Arabidopsis thaliana: one gene and its partner. The protein of the gene in region 1 interacts with the protein of each later gene in a pairwise test. Each region holds a gene or a part of one and is shown on either strand. Other genes may lie near its edges.

Region 1 (7,932 bases):
ATCTTCCCTTCCTATGAGAGTCTAAGAACTCCAATTCTTTTGACTAAAGAATCTAGCAAGATTCTCCCATAATCAACATCATTGATGTATTCATTATTAATCCTAGCTAGTTTAATCTTCAAAACTTTGATAACAAGACTGAACTAAAGAAGCAAAAAAGCAAAGGTAAATGGAGGCATAAACATAATTTAAGAGAAGAGATGTATCAAGATGAGAAAATCTTCACTAGTTTGATGAAAATATGACATCTTCATTAACGAAATGTAGAACAAGGCTCTTGAGTCTCTATACAAATTAGAGAAAACTCAAACTTATATTAAAAATCCTCAAAAACAAGTTTAAACCATGCTGGCACTTCAAAATTTGTGGGATGACATTGCCTATGTCGATGTGGAGGCCAATCTGATACTTGCATGATTCTTCAACTTTCCCGCTTTGATCTACCTCTGCCCGATGTAAGAATCGACGTGTGATTTGCCATTTTCTTGCATGGGACCATCACAAGGTCGATGTGGGTCAGGGTGAACGATGTGAGATCTAGGAGTCTCATAAACTTGTGTTCTCCCTTAAACGTCTTTTAGCTTGATCCATTCCGCTACATGCTATGTTGCTTCTCCCCTTTATTCTCAAATGTAATCCAAATTTTAATCTTTTGTAAGGGGAGAATTATAAATTATGAATTTAAACTATATATTGTATATCTATCTATTGAAACCCATAATTACAAAAAAAAACTAAAAAAAGTTTTCTAGTGCCGAAATTCGATCCCGGAAACTTTTCAAATCCGGAAAGCCATCAATCAATTAAACCGGAGAAACAACAATCGAGATAAATTAAATCCTTGTGTTACAGCGGATCTTTTGATAAGCAATGAATTTACACTGTATATATATTTACACAAATAACAACAGATAAATTAAAAAAGTTTCCGCTGCCAGGATTCAAACCTAGAAAGCGATCAATCGATTAAACTAGAGAAACAGCAATCAAGATGAATTAAACCCTTGTACTACAACGGATGTTTTTGATAAGCAATGAATTTACACTGTATATATTTTTACACAAATAATTACATATTTCTTTTTAAAAAAGTTTTCTTATGCCACAGATCGAATATGAGAGACGAATTCTTTTGATAGGCAATGAATTTGGTTTGTGGATTTCAAATTTAGGAAAGTTATCAATCAAGATGAATTTAACCATTGTGCTATAGTGAAACTATTGTTAAACTAGGAATTTACACTATATTAGGGAAAGACTAACATGACCGAATAAATGAAACACAAAAGACGACTAACATTAACGAATAAATGAAACACAAAAAAACGAGTTTAATTAGGAATTGAAGTTCAGTTCAAAATTAGAAAGATTTGTATCACGAAAGTTCAACATAGCAAAACAATAGATGAGATCGAACCATGTGACATAACGAGGTTTAATTAAGCACAATCCTAGATTCTATTCCTTAGCCCACCAAATAACAACTACTTAAGTTTCATGACACTGTTTTATGTTAAACTTCTATGGAAACAGTGTCAAGTAAATCAATTGATGGCATTCGTAGATTCTATTCAAGTCAATCACCTAATTATGTTAAACTCTATCTGAAAATAAGATTATGTAATAGGCTTACTAATCATCCTAGCATCGCCTCATGGCTAAATAATGGAAAACTTATTAGATTTGTGTTAAGTAAATTCATAACGGCCATAACCTCCTTTAGGACATGGAAAAGCCTAAATGAACTGTATGATCAAACTTAATCTTGTGGAGAATGATCACACATCATAAAGATGAGAGAAGATTTGAGTAGTATATAAAAGACATTGGATAATTCATTAATTACCAATTGGTTTTGAGTTGGAATCCCATGAAACTTAACATGATAGGAGAGTCCAAACACACGTTGTCTGACTAATCTGGCCAGAAAGTTGTCTGAGCATTCTACTAATTGATGGTTTAAATGAAGATTCAATCCTATCGAGATAGATAGAAAATCATTATTTCGAAGAGACGAGATAGATTCTATCAAAATTAATGGCCAGAAAAGCTATTATTTTGAGAAAACGTGTGGACAAAGATCTCATATTTAAGCTAGCTCATTGCCAGAAAGCAAACAGGATAATATGGAGACACCAGACCAGACGTGTGTAACTAAGCAAGAGAAATAAGTTTACATAGAAAGCATCAAAATTTCTGATTTTAGCACAATATGCCAAAAAAATCGCCAAAAATAGTAAAACGACGAGGAATTAAAGAAATAGAAAATGAGAAAAGTTTCTTGCTGACGATAACGAAACTAGTCTAGTAAATTGAAGAACGCAACTAAGAAGAAGTTGGTTTCAAAGATAGCTTAGAATGATGCTGTAATATTCAAGCCATGACCAACTTTGTGAACCAGATTATTTCCCTTACACTCCAAAAGAATAAAAAGAAAACTAAGAAAGATAAATCTTAACTAAGCGTTTGGAAAATGATCATGAGTTCCAAATATATATCTTGATAACTGATTCCATATCTGCTTAAGAAAATAAATGTGCCTCCGTAGAAAAATGGAACGTAACTAGAGTTTTCAGACCGTAGCAACATTCAGCTTTGTCCACTTCCGGAATATTGTCATAAGCAAAAGAGATGATGATTGGCAAAATATTCCACATATCAAACCAATCCACAAACCCTGTCGCCATCAAAATAATGAATCAAACATAACATAATCAAACAAAATTTACTAATCTTATTATAGAATCAAGCAATACCTTGGCATAAAACTTCAACTTGAAACCACAAAAGGCGGCAATCGGCATTCCAATTAAGTAGAATGTCGCCAAATTTATAACCGTGACTAAACGCTGCCATCCGCATCCTCTTGCAACTCCTGTAAATAAATTTAACAATGATTTTTACCACCCTAGATGAGTAAAAAAAAAAAATATATATTGGATCTTTTACCTGATAAAACTCCTTGGATTGAATCAAGAGTTATAGAGGCAGCAAGAAAAAACCTCAATGATGCAAACTCCTCTTTAATCACATAGCTATCGCTAAATAACCCAACCCAACCATCATGACCTACGAGTAAAACAATTACAACGCCGAGAGCAAGAACTAAAGACAACTTTACGGACACAGAGGTCGCCTTCTTTGCGCCTTTTACATTTCCTGCTCCAAGTTCATTGGACACACGCGTACTGCAATATTTATTTTCGATTTTTACATTTCCGAAACAATATTTTTCAGCAAGATGGAATACAAAGTATTTTGAAACTATCTAGTAAAATGAGCAAACCTTGCAGCTGCACTAAGTCCGTATGTTAACATGTAGCTAATCGCCTCCGTGTTGACGCTGAATTTATTTAACATAACACACATTGAGAAATTTGATATAATAGATAAAAAAAACATTAACTACCAAAAAAGTGATATTAAAAATATATATTTTTTACCATATAGCGACCAAAGAAGTATTGATTTCCGGGTTTGGCATCACTCCTGCCAAGAACACAAGAATCTCGAATGCCCAATATTCCAAACTGTTGCAACAATATAGTCTCTTAAGCTTCAACAAGCCTAATGATATTTTTTTTTCTTTTTGTCAACATGTACTATTTGGTTTTGACCCCGGGTATGATTACATTGACTAATATAAACCACTAGGCTAGATATAACGGTCAAGAAACATATATACTTACCATACCATAGCAGCAGAAGGGAGGCTTAATGTCAAGTTTATTACGATATAACGGAATGATTCCAACGAAAATCCAGTCCATGTTTCCTTAAACTTTTCTGAACACATCACATAAGTTCCAAGCGAAAGGAAAGCTATCCACAATGAAATAGATGTAGCTATTGGAGCACCAATGAATCCAAGCCCAGCTACATAAACAAGAACATATGCGGTAGCAATGTTTATCACCAAGGGAACAAACGAGAAGATGACTAGTGGAGCAATGATCGATTGTGTTTGGCAAAATCTCAAAATATTTTGTAAAAACCCGTAAGCTAGTAAACCGGGAGCTTGGTACTTCATATAGAGTGCAGCTTGTTTTGAAATGCTAGGATCTTGTCTGAGAAGTCCAAAAATCGATTCTGTGAAGAACCAGAAGATGGTGATGAGGATGCTGAAAACTAATGAAACGATGCAAGATGATTGTAGATGAACTCCCAACATCCTGTATCTTTTTGCACCAAAGCCTTGTCCACATAATGTCTCAAGTGATCCACTTAACCCTACCTGAAAACAAAGAGACATTAATGTATGTCATAAACAAGCACTTATACATATATACCGTTGGCCAAATGTTCTTGAAGATGTCGTTAATAAAAATTTAGACAACTCCTAAAATCATCTACTAGTCATTTATGTCGAATAAATCATTTTAAACAATCTTGATTCTTGAATTCGAGTTCGAGTCTATTATTGAGATGGAAATAAGTGGGTTTTAGTAACTTTTGCAAGTAGACATCAAAACAAGATTTTAAATTACAAAAGCTAAAGAAATAAGGAAATAATGGTACCATGAAGGCAAAACCGGAGACGGTGGCCCAAGAATTGGCAAGGGTGGCACCGGCGAGCTCGAGTTGACCGAGGTGAGAAGCAAACATCACAGAAGTTATAGGAATACAGTAGTAGAAAACATTGGTGAGTATCATTGGCAAAGAGTAAATCATTTGAGCTTTTGCTTCTTCCACGTCGATCACTTTTTGAACCAAAGTTGATGATCTTGATCTCCTTCCTCTTTCATCTTCTCCACCTACATGGTCATCCAACAACGGAGAACTCGTTGCCGGATCAGCCATTGGATTTTCTTGTTGAAGGACTTTGGGTTTGGTTAAGACTTGAAGAGGAGAATTGTGATTTGGCAAGGTGAGGAATTAAATAAGAGATGTACGCAGAAACAGGATATTAAATACCAACACAAGAGGCCTCTCTGCCATTTACTGCCACATTATAATGCAATATAAATACATTTTTTAATTATGCCAAAAAAGATTCAATTTATTACATCCTCAGACTAATTATTTTTGGATCAGAATCAATAATCTTAAAACAAAATGATGACTTAAAAAGTCAACCAATTAAATTTGCAATGTACTATAATCAGGCAGCTCATGAGTCATGACCACCCGATTACCACCTCAGGAAACTTTGAACATTGGACTTAACTTATCGTTAAAATTGTGAATAACAAAACTTCATCAATTAAGAAATATTTCTATATTACAACAATTCACCTGTTTCAAGACATGCATAGGATTGGTATTAAAATACAAAAGTAAAACTAATGAAAATTTGTATTTGAGTTTTTTTTTTTTTTTACAAGTTTTCATTAGTTGTATAGTCACATTTAGAGAGAGTATCGTAAAGACGTCGTCACCTAGTTACCAAATCTATAGGAGAACTTTTAGATTTAAGAACGTTTTCCATACTCAAACTCAGAGTTCAGATATGGTACCCTCTGAGCAAATATTTATGTTTGTATCTGATTCGTGAAATCGAGGACTCTGATGCCATAAGATTGAAGAAGTTTCCATCTCACAAACATGCCTCGTTTATTTCATTGATCTGATTCTGTTTTTTTGGAAGAGAGTTTGTTTACAATTTTTATCTGATTCTACAGCTCATCTCCAGTACTAGGATCCAATTCTAGTCAGATTCATGGTTACTCATCTTCTTGTTTTTTTCTGAACCATGGTTACTTATCAACTAGAACCAACAAAGACAGATAATTATCTGAAATATCAATACAAGAATCCATATTTAGAAAAAAAAATTATTTTTAATCATCAAATTAATAATTAAACAGAAGCTGGTGAAACTAACAACTATCTGTTAAACATTAGTTGAGAATTGCTAATTTTGTCAAGGTTTTATGATTTACTAAGAGGTCGATTTTTCAAAAAACAAAAAAAATCGTAATGCAGATGAATTTTAAAGTAGAGCTAATTCATTAGTCATAGAGAAAAATCAATTTAGAAAGATTTATATAGCTGAATTTGGGGATGTCTTTATTTCAATATCAACAACATAAATAGGCTTAAGGTCCAAAGGAACATTAAGATATTTCTAGAACGTCTTAAGTTTAACTCAAACTGATGTTTCTCAGACTGAAACGAAACAGAGAACACTAGCCACAAACATGACAAAGCAACATAAATTAAAGAAGATACTACTAGTTACATTTATTATTTAAAGAGTACTAGACATGATTTTGGGTCTCCGCTGGTTATGTGCAAACCAAAGCTTAGACCGTTTCAAGTTCTCACTTGAGATAGTCGATGAGCCAAGCGAGCATGTCCTTGTGAGCTTCCATTGCAGCTTCAACTTCTGATGGATCATTTTCATTGTATCTAACAGTCCAACCGTGTTTGCATCTTGGGAATATCTTCACAAAACTCTTCACCTGAAACATATCACTTTGCTCACAATTATCTACTTGAAGAAGATATCTACTTCCAAAAACACATCAACTACTAGTTGTGTTTTTGTAAGTAATGAAAATATTACCTTGCATAAAGACATAGAGCTAAGCAAAGTACCTGAGGTTTAGAAGCTAAAATATCTTCGAACTGCCTCACAAGTTCTGGAGGAGACACTTGATCGATTTCAGCTCCTAATACAGCAATTGGAAGGTTGACCTCTGCTTCAATCATATAGTGAGAGTCATAATCACAACAAATGAGAGAGAACTATCAAGTAAGGAGTGGCCATATCAAAGATCTAAATACCCTTGATATCATCCACCGTAACGCGAGCAGGATGTAACAAAACAGTAGCGTCAACAAGCTTTTCCTTAGCTAGTTCCACCGCAACTTTTGCTAAAGAATAAGAAACAAAAAGTCTTGTGTTAACTAATATACATGGTTGACTTATTATACAGATCATGGAAAACATTTTCATAAAACTGTGGTGATGATGGGAACAAGAAAACCGAACTCACCACCCCAACAGAACCCTGCTGCTCCTATACTAGTTATGCCTTTGTTCTTCAAGGCCTCCACTATTGGCTTTGACTCCTCAAACCCTTTCTCCTACAAAATCCATAGTCTGGTTTCAGATACATTGACACAGAACAGTACAAAAACACTGACTTAATCTTAGCTTTGCAATCAACAATAAGTAGTGATAGCATTTTGGCACTAATAATAAGGGATTATTGGGATACTTGGACTATTTCATGCTGGGAAACAAAGACTCATTTATGTTTTTGAGAAAAATTGAGGATTGAACATTTAATAAGGAAAAGAAACTAACTAGTTCATGATCTTTCATCCAAATAGGAAACGGACGATCCTGGTTCTCGGGATTATAAGGATCTCCATGGAAGAAATCAGGAACCACCGCGTAGAATCCAGCTTCTGCAACCTTGTCAGCAAGTTTCCTATCAAGGGAAGAACAATATCCATGACAAGTTACAGCAAGAATGAAACATCTTTCGAGTGACTATAAAAGGTGATATAAACTATAACTCATTATAACAAAGAATCTGAAGTAAAAGACTGTCTAACAATCAACAAAAGACAAGCTGATTCAGTAGGGATTCTCTGTTACAGCACCTCAGGTTTGGAGTTTCATATCCTGCAGAAGAAAACGTTTTAGATTCTCAAATCAAACCAACAAATTCAGAAAGAACATCAAACGTAATTGGGACAGGTAAAAAGGTTTTTTTACCGAAAACATGAGGGACAAGAAGAACAGCAAGCTTTGAATGAGTGGAACCACAGACGTAGGTGTCAAGGTTACCGAGTTTCTCGACATGACCCGACCCGCTAGTTGGATCCAGATCAGGCGGGTTCTCGGTGCACTGATGACCTGACATTCTTGTTTTCGCCGAACCAAAAAACAAGACGACTCCTCTCTCGCGCTTTGGGACCTCTGTTTTAAAAAGTAAAGCCACCAAACCACCTTTGACCTTTCACACCAGTTATCTA
Region 2 (5,972 bases), on another chromosome or scaffold:
AGATTTGCTATCTTTCTTGTCATTAAAATTGTATTATTGTTATTACCAACATAATATGTCATATATCGACCTGAAATAATTAAATCATGAGAAATTTGGCAAACGGAAACTTCGGATGGTCAACAATCTACAAATATATGCATGTATATAAATACACCTAAAGAATTCTAACCCGTAAAACAAAATAGTTTCCACTTTAAGTTCTGTAAAAGTATTTGACCCCTCTAGAGACCATGTATATATATGGTGACAAAAATTAATACTTTCAATATCTTCATTGTCTTCTCTCTCTCTCTCCCTAAAAAACATGGAAACTACAAAAAACACTAATCTCCAAAACCCTACTAAACTCCCAAAACCATTTCAACATCACCTAGAAGAAGAAAAAGAAGACGCACTATCTCTCCGAGATCTTCCCCTCAAAGCCAAGAATCCTAATCCCACCACCACCGAAGACCACAAAGAACCGTCAACGGAACTTTTTGAGTTTCTAACCTCATCCTCCTACGACGTAGCTCCGGCAGAAAATATAATCTTTGGCGGGAAACTCATCCCTTTAAACTACCAAAATGCTTTCTTTTCACCTCCTGAGCACATTAGCCGTCGAATCCGTTCACGGTCTGAGTCCTTATCCGCGATACAAGGCCATAAGCTTAACCGTCCCGGTAGTTGTACCGTGGCACGTCGTGACAATGCGGGACCTATGAGGGCAAGCCGCTCTTTAGATTATCGTAAGCTTTCACGTGGTCTAACCACCGTACATTCTCCACCGGAAAATAGTTCATCGACTAAAAACACGGGGAAGCCTGAAACAACGTCTTCGGGAAGTGTAAAAAGTGTAAGGCCAAGATGGTATGTGATCATGTTTGGAATGGTTAAGTTTCCGCCGGAGATCGAACTCAAGGATATAAAGAGCCGTCAGATTCGCCGGAATATTCCACCGGTTATGTTTCCATCTCCTGCTAACAGGAGAGCTCGTGGATCTCGGTCGCCATCACCGTCACCTTCTTGGAGGTTTCTCAACGCTTTAAGTTGCAAGAAGCCCACAAGCGTGGCTGCTACGGCGCCGTTTTGGGTTCCTCATCCATAAATTACTATATTATTCCTACGAACATTGTGCGCGGTTACTTGCTCTGCCGTTGATTAAGAAGGATAGGATCGTCATTTAGTATAAGAAATATCGATATTGTTAATTTATTTTGTGAAAGAATGTCGAAATTGTAATTTATTTGGTGAATCGATAATAGTTTGGACCATAACACATCTTATTCACACCTTTTTCTTTTTCTTTGATTTTTTCGTTATTTTGTATTTCAGCTCATTTAGAATATTTCAATATATATTTTAATAAAATTGTTTTTGAAATTGAATTGGTTAGGTGAGGAATGAATGATGATCAAAAGAAGCACGAGAAGGATATGAGAAAAATTTATTACCTTACTTTTCCCAATGGGACTAGTCGATTTTTAATGATTTAGACAGGAAGTTGTATCATTTTTTAGCATTTATCTGTGCTTCGAAGTTCATGGTTGATAAATGGTATGATCAAATTCCATCTTGAGAGACTGTGACATGCACCTTTCTTTTGTCCAGAGACTTCTAGATTCGAAAATTATTAGACATTTTTCTTTCTTCATAAATCTTTTTCACCATTATCATATGTCTATATGATACGACCTAATATTAAGATTTTTTACTTAGCTTAGAATTGACCTAAATTGGTACTTTTGGGCTGTGACACTATTAGTGATGAAAGAAATTGAGACGTCAACTATAATGCGCATTTTAAAAGAAAGTAAGACAATGATTGGAACAAATGACTTGCCAAGTAAGTGAAAGAGGACAAAGAATGTTTTGTTCCAAAACAAATATCTGAGAGACAAACAAACACTGGAGATATCATTGAGCACAAACACGCATTGGTTTCCTTTAGGTACACGTCTAAAGTTTAACGAAACGTCGTAGCTTCAAGTTTTACAAATTGATCTTACAAATTTACAGGTTCCTATATGTTCCCTGAGGATTAAGAGAGAGTAATAAATCAGGCTTTGTCCTTCATTTGAATCTTGACAAAGTCTTTTAATCTCTCCTCCTTCCCTCGAAGGATGTTGAATCATGTAGCATCTAACGAGTGTGTAACCCAATACGCAAGAATCTGTGAAAAAACCTGCAAGATACACGAAAAGGATGTAATGTTTAAAGATTGTTTTAGAAAACTTGGAGTTCTGATTTAGAATCTAAAATATCATTTACCTGTCAATGTTTCTTGAGAGTTTCTGAAACCGCGGTTTTAAGTTCTCAAGATGAATACTGCAAGGGTATAAACAAGGAATTTGATTCAGTTATAGAGAGTAGAGACTGTCATGGAACAGTGGTGTGACATAACTCATGAGAACCAAGAGAAGGACTCACATAGAAGAATCAAGATTAGCGTTAAGGAAAGAATGAGCTTAATAGGGCGGCTCAATGGAACGCGAAATCGTCTTTGATAAACCTTGACTCTGTCAAAGAGCTGCAAAATGATAAACAACTAAGACTTATGATCCTTTCTAATAGTGTAGAGATGATCCAAACTGCAGAAGCTTACCTGGTTATAATCACGACATCTCTGCAGCCAAAACATAGGTTTAGCTCCTTTCTCTTTAGGAGTGTCTTCAATATGTGATAGGAACTTCTCCCTCTCTTCTTCTTTTGCATTAACAGGGACATTAATCCTCAACGCACTGATATTTGGTACATTTGGTGAACTCCATGTTCTTCTTGTACCGCCTTTTTTATCTGCACTTTCCGGACTTCCTATGTCGTCAATGTCTATCACACAATCAGGACTGTCGCCATAACATCTACCCTCTCTTCTGCCATTGATCCCACGTGGATTCTCAGCTACAGAACTCGTTGAGGAATCTCTCAAGTTGATGCTATCACTGTTTAAACTCTCTGACGTCTGAGAAGATCCAGATAGAAACATGGCGAGATCATCACGCTCTTCTTTGTTAAGATCCACCCAACGCAAAGGTTGTTTCCCATTCTCGCTTAACGACTCTAGCAGAGTAGATTCCACTTGATAAATCTGGTTTTCAATAGCGGTAACAAACTGTTTATGCCTAGTTAAGGTAGTGTCATCTCGACAATTTCCATGGCTTAAGCTCACTGCCCTCTCAAACTCTTCCAACTGATTCAAGTCACAACAATATAACCAATATCACTAACACACTCATGAGTAACCATGAAAAAAAAAGGGAATGATCAAAGGACCATTGATTGTTTCATACCTGCCATTTAGCAGTGCTCAAAGCAGCTTGGAGTTCTTTGCAGAGCTCGTCTGATTCTACGGATACTCGACCGTCTCTCTTCTCTTTAAACCACAACCTATACGCAGATTCCATTCTGGAAATACAACACAAATAAGAAACAAAATTTCAAATTTGATAACTCAATTCCTTCACAAAACACAAAGGTTCTCACTTAGACCATTCTAGAGCCAATTAGTCCCCTAAACAATCGAAATACCCTATTTTTCAATTGAAATTCCGAATTCCACCATCACAAGCAACATGAGTCAATTAAACAAACAGAGAATCAAAAAACACATACATATCAGCAGATTCTTGAACCTCCTCAGCTGCAGAGAAAAAAACATCCTTTTGCCATAGATCGAAACTATTCGCTACCATCATCTTCGAAACCACACCTAAACCCTTCAAATTAAAGACCAAAAAATCAACCCGAAAAGATTCGTCGGAATAGATTCTCTCTCCGATTATAATCCAAAATTAGATTCTGCTTCCTTCTCTTCTCTTCTCTTCTCTTCCTTTTTTGCCTTCAGGAGGAAAGAAGGAATTTTTATTTTTTCTTCCTCCAGCTTTCTGTTTTTATTTTTTATTCCTTAAATTCTTCGATATTTCTTTGCTTTCTTCACTTTAAACGTTAATGGAAGATTTTAATAAAGAGGCCTCTCTGAACTAAATTGACCATATTTCACACGTGTTTTATTGTAATTGGGAAATAATTTAAAGTAAGATGGTCTTAGCTGCAGGAGATTACCGCTTGTCAAAGAAAAACATCAAGAATGTCCGTGTTGTTGTTGGGCCTACCGGTTTGCCGCAACATCAATTGTTCGCCAACCGCATTATATTATTATTATTATTCTTTATTTTAATACTCTCTATACAAGTCAAATGCTAATGAGTAAATAAATTCAATAAAAACTCAACGCTAATTTTAACTTTTAGTTTAGTAATAGACAGTAGGAGCAGGACAAATTGAGGTGGCATGTGTAGCGCATGTGATATCAAAATTTTAACTAGTTAAATTGAAATTCATAAAATGAAAACATGTTTTGGTGTTTTCAGTTTTGGAGAGACATGTTTTGTTAAATAAATTTAATTAATTAGTTGTTGTGATATGGTGAAATACCACCTTCTTCAACAAATCCCAACCTTGATTTTGGTGTTTTCAGTTTTAATTAGTTACCAAGACCTGTTTTTGTTCTTATTTAGACATTAACCGGTGGTAGATTCTAGAGATTGGGCCCATAATATATATATATATTTTTTTTGATCAAAAAGATTGGGCCCATAATATAAAACAACTTTTTTCTGATGCAAATCTCTTTGGGTAGGATTGGGCTTCACTACTACAATATGTCAAAAATCAGCGGTCAATATTATATTTAGAAAAAAAAAAAGAACGGATGGATTTTTCAGGTCACTTCTAGTTTGAAGTCAAGTGTTTGATGTGATGATTCTTTAAATGTCACTTCTCGAGTAAATTGTTTTCTTGAACTATAAATTTTGAAATTTACAGGTTTCACATATAACCTGTATAAAAAAGGGTGTGACACTAACCAATTTACAACACCCAAAGTCCAAACGCCAATTCTCTTTTATCTCTTCAAAACAAACGTAACCGACACGAAAATTTGAGACAACATATACAACAACAAAGTGGCAATTTCTGCAGCATTAGTAGATACAAAAGCCAGTTTAGTCTCAACTCTCATGTAGCAAATCTCAGAAGGTTAACTTTGGACAGTGCCTACTTTTGACTTAAGAGTAAACCAAAATGGATAACGTTATATTATATGGTAACTAATCATATATTATAATAATTTTGACTAAACAAAACGGATAATTAAAAACACACAAGAACCACCATTAGATGATGATCCTAGGATAAACAGTCTCTTATCATTCACTTCTCCTTCTCATCTTCTTCTTCTTCCTCCTCTCGAAACCCACAAACCTCTCTGTTTCTTCTATTAGGACTATCCAAAGCTCTCTTCTCTTGTTCTTCCTCTGCTTCTTCTTCTTCTTCTTGACCTTCCTGTTTCTTCTTCTTCAATCCAACACTCTTCCTTCTCTTCACAACTCTCTCCTTCAACACACTCACAATCTCCCTCACCGCCTTCTCCGCATCACTCCTATTCCTAATCAACACTTCACTAACATCAGCCGGAGTAATCTCTGCTTCCTCCACACATTCTTCCATCTCCTTCAAAACAACACTATCCATATCTTCTTCCTCAAGCCTCAGATAATTCTTCAACAGAATCTTCAAAGCCGGAAACTTACAAAAACCCATGTGAACATGCATATCCATCCTCCCACTTCTCATCAGAGCAGAATCTAACTTCTCTATATGATTTGTCGTGAACACAAATATCTTCTCACTCCCACAACAAGACCAAAGCCCATCTGTGAAGTTCAATAGCCCCGACAGAGTCACCGAGCTTCCCGGTTCCTCCAAACCCGACCCGTTTGTCAAACCTGGATCATATTCATAGCTCCCATTCTTCTTTTTGTTCTTTCCTCGTTTCGTCAAACTGATAGAACAATCAATGTCTTCGATGACAATGATAGACTTAGAGCTAGTCTTCATCAACAGCTTCCTCAATTCAGAGTTGTTCTGAACCTCAGTGAGTTCAAGATCGTAAATATCGTAACCAAGGTAATTCGCCATTGCAGCAATCA

The links. Proteins that work in one complex are often made in the same cells at the same time.
Region 2: the proteins of ALF5 (region 1) and AT4G30240 interact in a protein complementation assay, tested with the Arabidopsis thaliana proteins (one large-scale study listed by BioGRID).

Annotation. Positions count from the first base shown.
Region 1 is NC_003074.8:8,451,789-8,459,720, forward strand, and holds ALF5 (MATE efflux family protein), read right to left. Parts: upstream 4,921-7,932; 5' UTR 4,801-4,920; coding exon 4,519-4,800; intron 4,235-4,518; coding exon 3,690-4,234; intron 3,531-3,689; coding exon 3,444-3,530; intron 3,344-3,443; coding exon 3,287-3,343; intron 3,189-3,286; coding exon 2,950-3,188; coding exon of another isoform or gene 2,909-2,949; exon of another isoform or gene 2,876-2,908; coding exon 2,757-2,875; intron 2,678-2,756; coding exon 2,573-2,677; 3' UTR 2,115-2,572; downstream 1-2,114. Other genes in the region: AT3G23570 (alpha/beta-Hydrolases superfamily protein), read right to left, coding at 6,264-6,404, 6,541-6,641, 6,730-6,819, 6,942-7,032, 7,256-7,382, 7,558-7,579, 7,673-7,820.
Region 2 is NC_003075.7:14,806,069-14,812,040, forward strand, and holds AT4G30240 (Syntaxin/t-SNARE family protein), read right to left. Parts: upstream 4,008-5,972; 5' UTR 3,678-4,007; coding exon 3,595-3,677; intron 3,388-3,594; coding exon 3,273-3,387; intron 3,173-3,272; coding exon 2,588-3,172; intron 2,513-2,587; coding exon 2,413-2,512; intron 2,311-2,412; coding exon 2,291-2,310; 3' UTR 2,254-2,290; intron 2,168-2,253; 3' UTR 1,821-2,167; downstream 1-1,820. Other genes in the region: AT4G30230 (uncharacterized protein), read left to right, coding at 308-1,090; AT4G30250 (P-loop containing nucleoside triphosphate hydrolases superfamily protein), read right to left, coding at 5,194-5,972.